Linked DNA regions of Drosophila melanogaster. The protein of the gene in region 2 interacts with the protein of the main gene of each other region in a pairwise test. Each region holds a gene or a part of one and is shown on either strand. Other genes may lie near its edges. The genes, in order: SdhBL and CG15764.

Region 1 (4,723 bases), about 13 Mb from region 2:
ATGAGAGATCGTGGCGTTCGCGCTCTCTTTCTCGTTCTCGCTCGCGCTCCCTTTCCCGCTCCCGTTCCAGGGACGGAGTACGTCCACGTGCGCGGGTCTGGATGATGATCTTCTCTCGCGACATCAGTTGGTGATGCATTCGCGAGGATGAGCTGCTGCTGCCGCCTCCAAGACCAGAACCTAAACCTTAAAGTCAAGCAAAATTAATGGGTTAGTGGGTTGAGCCTAGACATAACTATATGTAGTATCTGATAGTTACCTGGACTCTTTTGCCGCTTACCCACGATGTCCTGATGGATGCGAATCTTGGTGGTGGTGGTAGTGCTGCTGCTCGGCGGACTCCTACTGCTGCCCAATCGATGATGGTCTCGCTCTCTGTCTCGTTGGACGACGCGCAGCTTGTCCCGCTCCCGTTGCTCCTTGCTGGCAGCCCGTAGCCTCTTTCGCTCGGCCAGCTTCTTTAGCTTGGCTCGCGTCGTCGGCGACAGGGAACGATGGACGTGACCACTGAGGGCGGCGGCCGCCCGTTTCTTAAGGCGCGCTTCCTTCAGTTTCCGTTTGATATGATTTCGCTTGGCCACCAGCTTCTTTTGCACATGATCCCGTTTGTCTCGCTTGCGGCGCGACGACGATGGTTCATCTCCGGACGAGCTGCCGCCGCGCCGTGAGCTCTTCTTTTTGCGATGATGACGCTCCGCGGAGCGCGGATGATGCCCATGGCCGTGGGTATGGGGATGACCGTGGACGCTGCCACTGCCGCCGGGACCACCGGCGCCACCAGGTACGCCCACCCCCACGCCGACGCCGCCCACGCCCTGCTCGCTGTCCGTGCTGCTGTACGAGCTGCTCCCGCTGTCGGAGTCCGAGGTGGAGTCCGAGCTGCTCGAGTGCGTCGCACTGTGACGGGCGGCCTTCTTGTAGCGGCGCAGCGACTCCTTGGCCTTCTTCTCCATCGCCGCGATCTCCGCTAGCCTGCGCGCCTCCGTTTTGGCTGCTTTCTTTTCGTACTCCGGTCGAAAATCAGCACGGCTATGCGGCTTATAACTAGTTGCAGCGTGTCTTGTGGTATAATGTCCTTGTTCGGAGGCGCGGACTTGCCTTGTTGTCTATTTTGTTGGCGTTTTCTTTAACTCTTCTTCTTCTCTATTTTCCTCTATATCTTCGTGTTTGTTGTTATCGATAGTCGATTGGCAGGGCATCGCGACCATCGATTACAGTCAGCACGGCGGTACATATCGATCGGTATAAGTTTGAAAATATTGTTTATTATTGTATCACATTATTATAATAAAATATAATTAAATAATTAAGTGCCTTTAACTATAAATAAATATTAATTTAACATTAAAAATATTATTAAAATTAATAATATTAATTAATACTTGTATTTATATTAATATATTGTATTTTTGTAACAATTTCTGCTTAAAATGAGTTCGGTTTTGGATTGAATTACAATTTCTATATCAATTTACCGGTTCAGCAACGGGGATTCAAATCTGACTTGTTATCCATTTTTATACCCGTTACTCGAAGAGTAAAAGGGTACCCTAAATTTGTTGAAAAGTATGTAGCAGTCAGAAGAAGGCGTTTCCGACCATGTACAGTATATATATTCTTGATCAGGAGTCGATCTAGTCATGTCCGTCTGTCCGCCATGTCCGTACCTAGAAGGTTGAGATCCAGCATACAGATTCTAGAGACAAAGACGTAGCGCAAGTTTGTTGATCTTTTTTCGCATTTTTATTAATCTTGTAAATTTCTATCGATTTGCCCAGAAAATGATAAAATTTCGCGTTCTCACATCCACTAGCTGAGTAACGGGTATCTTATAGTCGAGGAACTCTCTTTAGTTGATTTAAATTCCACGCATCCAAAACATTGTATAAAGCAGCCTGTTCTACTACTCAGTTAAACTGAACTTTTCATTTCGAAAAGATTTTCAAATCCAGCTGGCTATGCCTCTAGTGTCAAGTCGTATTACGGGCACTTCACCGGCTTCTCCTCAGTTTTGCTACACAGTTCGACACTTCAACACCTCAACACCTCAACACCTCATCGCCTCGGCACACATTCTCTCTCAACAAAAAAAAAAAAAAAACACATATATTTTTATAAGTACACATTTTAACTTAAAGTCTCATTCATTCGCTCGAAAACCGATGAATTTGTTGCGCCGGCAGCCTCGGCTGCTGAATAAACGGAGCACGTGGCTGTTTAGAAATTACGTGTTGGCCAACAGGGATGTGTCCGAACCCGTTTCCCGTCCTGCGGCGCCTATGTCCACCCTATCGATACCCGGACCAGCGCTGGCTGCCGCCACCCCAGTATCCGCCGTATCCCTGGTACCCCGGTGCACCCACTCCAGCCTCCAAGGAGGTGGACAAGGAGCAGGTTAGTTCTAAGTGAAAAGTTTTCTGATTCCACAATTTTCTGGGTTGTCAATGACTTTGTCATAATGACATTTCATAAATGACACCTGCACTTATTGATATGCTTAACTGAAATTTCTATATTCATTAAAGGAGGAAGAGGGCTCAGAGGATCAGCCACCGGAGGATCAGCCGCCGGAGGAATCGCCACAAAACGACAGTACTCCGGAGGAGCAGCCCCCGCCGGAGCCGCCAAGCCGGGAGGAGCAGCCCCCGCCGGAGCCGCCAAGCCCGGAGGAGCAGCCCCCGCCGGAGCCGCCAAGCCTGGAGGAGCAGCTGCCGCCGCCGCCGGATCCGCCAAGCCCGGAGGAGCGTCCACCGGAAAGCCAGCTTCGGGCAACGCACCAGCAACGCCTCCACCTCCACCACCTCCTCCGCCTGCTAAATCTGCACCCCCAGTGAAAGCGAAGAAGCCGCGATTGAAGACCTTCGAGATCTACCGCTGGAAGCCCGGGGATCAGCCGCAGACGCAGACCTACGAGGTGGACCTGGAGCAGTGCGGCGCCATGGTGCTGGATGCCCTGATCAAGATCAAGAACGAGATGGACCCCACGCTGACCTTTAGGCGCTCCTGTCGCGAGGGCATCTGCGGCTCCTGCGCGATGAACATCAATGGAACAAACACCTTGGCCTGCGTGTCGTCCATCGACCAGAATGAGAGCAAGTGCTGCCGCATCTATCCACTGCCGCACCTGTATGTGGTGCGGGATTTGGTGCCGGACATGAGCCAGTTCTACGATCAGTACCGCTCCATCCAGCCGTGGCTGCAGCGCAAGGATCTGAAGCGGGAAGCTGGAACGGCACAGTATCTGCAGTCCGTGGACGATCGTCTGGTGCTGGACGGGCTGTACGAGTGCATCCTGTGCGCCTGCTGCCAGACCTCCTGTCCATCATACTGGTGGAACAGCAATAAGTATCTGGGTCCCGCCGTCCTCATGCAGGCCTATCGCTGGGTCATTGATTCCAGGTGAGTGAGGCCATGTTGCTGCCAGTTTCCCCAGTGTGCTAAGATTTGCTTTGCAGGGACGAGGCCACCGAGCAGCGACTGGACTTTCTCAAGGACCCCTGGAAGCTATACCGCTGCCACTCGATCATGAACTGCACCAACACGTGCCCCAAGCACCTCAATCCGGCTAGAGCCATCATTCAGCTGAAGCAGCTGCTTGTGGGACTGAAGAAGAAGGGAAAACCACAACTCAAGACCGACGCCCTTTTCGCGGGAAAGGCGTAGGAGGACAACGAAATATCGACATAACGCCATGGGACTTAATAGATATAGATATAGATATACATATGTAGCTATAGTTATAGATATAGATATACATATGTAGCTATAGTTATAGATATAGATATACATATATAGATATACATATACATATACATATACACATATACAGATACATATACATATACATATACATATATAGATATAGATATAGATATAGATATAGATATAGATATAGATATAGATATAGATATAGATATAGATATAGATATAGATATAGTTATAGATATAGTAGGAATTAGGAATGCTATACTGTACACACTGGGCAATACACCGATACATCCTATTAACTACATTTTAACCAAGGACCTCATGGACTTTACGTTAGATAGGTGATAATAAAAGAAAATCGATGTGATTGAATCGAATATTCTGGGTAGACTTTCTAAAGAATGCTGCACAAGATCGTCTTCTATTAATTGATCAATTGAAAGACAATCTTTACAAATGCCATCATGGGTACAAAATAAAGAGATCATCGGGCAGATGGATTGCAGTTGGACAGATGAATCCAACTGATACCAAGAGCGCCTAGCATCTCCATTCCCCTCTTCGTAGATCCAGATCCCAATCCCTACCCCGATCCCGATCCCGATTCCGATTCCGTGTTTGTGTGCTATTTCTGCGCCGCTCGTTGCAATTAAGTGGGAAAATGCTGTTGCAATGTGGATGTTAATGCTCGTGTCTGCACCAGACGCATCCAAACAAATCACACATAAAGAATGGAATCGGATGAAATGAGCCACTTCCCACACTTGAAAAAATTACACGGTGTGCTTGAGCACGAAACTTTCTTAGTACATTATTTAAAGCAAACAAATTTATTGCCGTGCAGGCCAGGAGATTTGTTTTCCAATTGGCCTGGAGCAGGAGCAGGAGCAGGAGCATTGGAGGGCAGTGAATGAAGCCAACTGTGAAAACGGTCCAAACGTCTCGATGGGCATCTATAAATACGCCACCGCAAATCTTCCGCCGGGCAGAAGAATCGGAGACGGAGTCATTTCGA
Region 2 (3,848 bases):
GGATTGTTATACCTCGTTAAGTTTGTATTTAAATTCCCAATCGAACTGTGTCCAAAAATGGGAATTCTATTTTTTAGCCATTTTTTGTAAATTTTGATGATGTTACCCCTTCCGAAAATGCGAAAAATGACTCAAAAATTATTTTTTCTAAATTGGTCCAAAAGTGATACAGATGGTTAGCCTTCGTTATTAGCTGCTCAAAACAGTTATTTCTTTGGTTTTATGATCATTTTTAGTCAAGTTATGATGAAAACGCTCATCTAAAGTTGTTTAATTTTTGCCAAAATCATTTTTTTCGATTTTCCGTCATAAAATAGTCAGTTTTTTGGCCACAACTTTAAAAATAATTGTCTGAATACGGAATGTCATATCACGTTGAGTTCGTATTTAAATTCCCAATCGAACTGTGTCCAAAAATGGGAATTCCATTTTTTAGCCATTTTTTGTAAATTTTGATGATGTTACCCCTTACCGAAAATGCGAAAATTGGTCCAAAAATTAATTTTCCTAAATCGGTCAAAAAGTGATAGGGATGGTTAGCCTTCGTTATTAGCTGCTCAAAACAGTTATTCTTTTTGCTTTCTGATCACTTTTAGTCAAGTTATGATAACAATGCTCATCTAAAGTTGTTTAATTTTTGCAAAATAATTTTTTTCCATTTTCCGTCTAAGATCTCAGTGTATGTCTATAGTCTTTTGGATGCTTTTTTCTCGTACCTGTCTTTCTATGCGTTTGTTTTCCATTTCACCTGCCCAGTTTTTCGTACTCATCGTTGGCATTCCAAAAAAATGGAGTGCCACGTGACTCCTCGTTGTGGTGGTTTAGGGGGGGGGGGGGGAGGACTATATAGGTCGGGCGGATTGACGCCGCTTGTGCATTGTTTCGAGGGGGCGGACAAAGCACACAAATAACTGTCAAAGTTTCAATTCTTTTCGAAAGTAAAGCCCGGGTAAAAAAAAAAAAAAAAACAAGAAACCGAATCCGAATCCAAAAGCAAACAAAGGCAGAACAATGGTCGAGCAAATTGAAAGCTCTCGATTGGTATTCCTCTATTCCGGACTTGTTTTCCCACTTTTCACTTTTCATTAAAACAGAAGCAGCACGGAAGCGTTGAAAAAAAATCCGCAAAAAACAGCGAAACTAAAATTGAAGTCGCTCTACAAATGGATAAACTCAGTTTGGCAATGGATTTTATTTACAGATCTCATTCAAGGTTCAATTTATGAAACGATTAATAGTTAAAGCAATAAATTTTTTAAAGGGCCGTTCAAGTAGGTTCCATTATCCTTACATCCGCGATGAATGCATGGCTGTTCTGTCCAACCGACACGATAATGCACATACTCATACATATGTACATATATGTTGCACATCAATCCCCCTTTCGCCGACATGCAAAGTGCAACACCTCTCGTTCTTCGAACAATTTTAATTATTTCCACACGCAGCAGCGACGCACTCAGTAAGTCCATGGGCGGCAGAGGGAACCGGCAAAAGAGTGGTCGTTGGAGTGGGATGGTGGGGGGTGGGGGGGCGAACCCGACCGCAGGGAGTGTGTTGTTGGCTTTAACGGGGAATTAAGTCGGGCAACAGGAAGTCAGCGAGCACAATAATTAAGATGAGCGCTCGAGGGGCAATTATGTGACATCAACTTGCCAATTTTAAAACACCCCCGCCCCCCCGCAATCACGAACTCTCCGCATCCCTTTATCCTTCAGTCGAAGGATAATGCGAACGTTTTGGCCAACAGTGGGCTGTGTATAAAGATTTCTAACCATATATAAATATTCTTCGAACTGCATACTTTGCGACACATTCATACACTCAGAGAAAAAAACCTTTGTAAACTTGTAATCTTGGAGTTGGAGTTTTCCGAAACCAGTAGGCCCGTCTCCAACTGGCAACACTTCATTTCACCTAATTTGACAGGGACACACACAACACGTTTGCTCTACGGTTCGGTCGGTAGTACCAAATCTTATATACACTACATCTTCACAGTATAGCCATATATATATATTAATATTATCAAAATTTTCCACTAAACCTGCTTTGGAATGAGCACAGAACATCTGAATGACGCGGCGGAGTCCGTGAGTGCCCGGAGTTTGGCTTTGGATCGCGCTATCGTCAATTTGGTGCACCAGGCCCGTCGCCTCCATTTGAACAGCGTGAATGGCTATACATCTCTGGAGGCATCTCTGGAGAAGGCAGTGCCAGAGTTGCTCACGACTAGGAGTGATACCGCACACCCCACCACCACAGCGACCAGCTCGGCAAGGTCTTTCCCGAAGCGTAGGCCCAGTAGCCTAGCACCACGACCTGCGCCCAAGGCTTTCAAAATGCGCAAGACCGATACGCATCTGAGGACCCCACGTGTCGTCCAGTGTAAGACGGCCCGTATCCCGGTGACGCCACCACCACCGCCACCCTCGCCGCGTTGCCCAAAACCTGGGGAACTTAGTTCGGCCATGGACATGGCCGATCTGCTTCGGATCGAGATCGCCGAGACGGATGCACTGTTGGATCAAATGCTATTCGATGCCAAGGCACTCGAACGCCAGGTGGCGATCCAGTGTCAGTTGCAGAGCGATGCGGAAATGATCCGCAGCCTGGAGATGGAGTACAGTGGGCGATCCATGAGATATCTGATAGAGGCCATTCAGTCGGACTGCGAGAGCCAGGATGTCCAGGATCTCTGGAGCCGATGTCAACGCTCTTTGGAACGCCACGCGGAGCGACAGACGGAGCTGGAGTCCAAAGAGGGTCTGTATCTGGATCGGAATCCAGGCAAGGGCACCGGCAAGGGCACCCAAACCGATATGGCTGACTCTCAGGACGAGATGCTACCTATCTCGTCCAATTCGATTTGCCAATGGTTGCGAAGGGCGATGGGTTCTTTAAGCCAAGAGGATCAGGTGCAGGAGATGGCCATCTAGCGCAGGCCAGCCTTGAATAGTATTTGAATAAAGATACACAACTCTAAAATCACTTGTGTGCTCTGCTGTTTTAACGATGGCCCATAGAAATATTGAAAAGCTGCGATTAGACTAGAACTGCGAGGATTAATTAACTACTACTTGAAAAAGTATATATATTTGTTAACTGATTTATACAGTGATACAGCTCAGTGATTTGACCGAACTCATCTTACAATCTATCTATCCATTTAATAAAAAGATATTCGAAAATTTCTCATTTCTACATTTCGAGTGAAAGTACCACTGTGCCGCCGCAACTTTGTGTCTGCCTTTGAATGGTTGTGTGAGGAAAGTTTTCTTGTTAAGTTGCAGATTGAATGGCGCCGGTAAACACGGTGCGGCAAGTGCAGGGCTCCCAGCTTCGAGGACACCATGCATCCATGCCTCTGATTGAGCCAAATCCTGGCTCATAACTAATTGCCAGCAGCGACGACGATGGCGCTGGCAGCGGTGCAAAGTTTAAATTAAGTTGCGTGTCATAGTCGAAAAGTTTTCCACTTATTCAAAGAGGCACGTGCTCCACTGAGCACTACTCCACGGAGAAACTCCTGTCCTCCACTGGCCAATAACGCCAGCGAAGACGGAGGATTGACAAAAGAAATAATAACCAACGGATGGGAAATATATGCATTACTGCTTTACGTGCAAACAAAGTTGCAAATATAATGGAAAATCCATAAATCACAAGAAGCTACTGATAAAGTTAACCACTTAAGTAATTTAAAATGATAAGTTAACTGGGAATCAACATCGAAAATGCCGTGGTATATTTAATATTTTTTGGATTACATTTACACTTAGTTATTCCAACTAATAAATAGGCTTCTTTTATTTAGACATTTAATCAAATGCATAACATTTAAATGG

The links.
Region 1: the proteins of CG15764 (region 2) and SdhBL interact in a two-hybrid assay, tested with the Drosophila melanogaster proteins (one large-scale study listed by BioGRID).

The regions. Positions count from the first base shown.
Region 1 is NC_004354.4:18,892,500-18,897,222, forward strand, and holds SdhBL (succinate dehydrogenase, subunit B (iron-sulfur)-like), read left to right. Parts: upstream 1-1,946; 5' UTR 1,947-2,162; coding exon 2,163-2,394; intron 2,395-2,525; coding exon 2,526-3,399; intron 3,400-3,455; coding exon 3,456-3,663; 3' UTR 3,664-4,082; downstream 4,083-4,723. Other genes in the region: Flacc (Fl(2)d-associated complex component), read right to left, coding at 1-186, 260-953.
Region 2 is NC_004354.4:5,867,125-5,870,972, forward strand, and holds CG15764 (uncharacterized protein), read left to right. Parts: upstream 1-1,970; 5' UTR 1,971-2,057; coding exon 2,058-2,939; 3' UTR 2,940-3,142; downstream 3,143-3,848.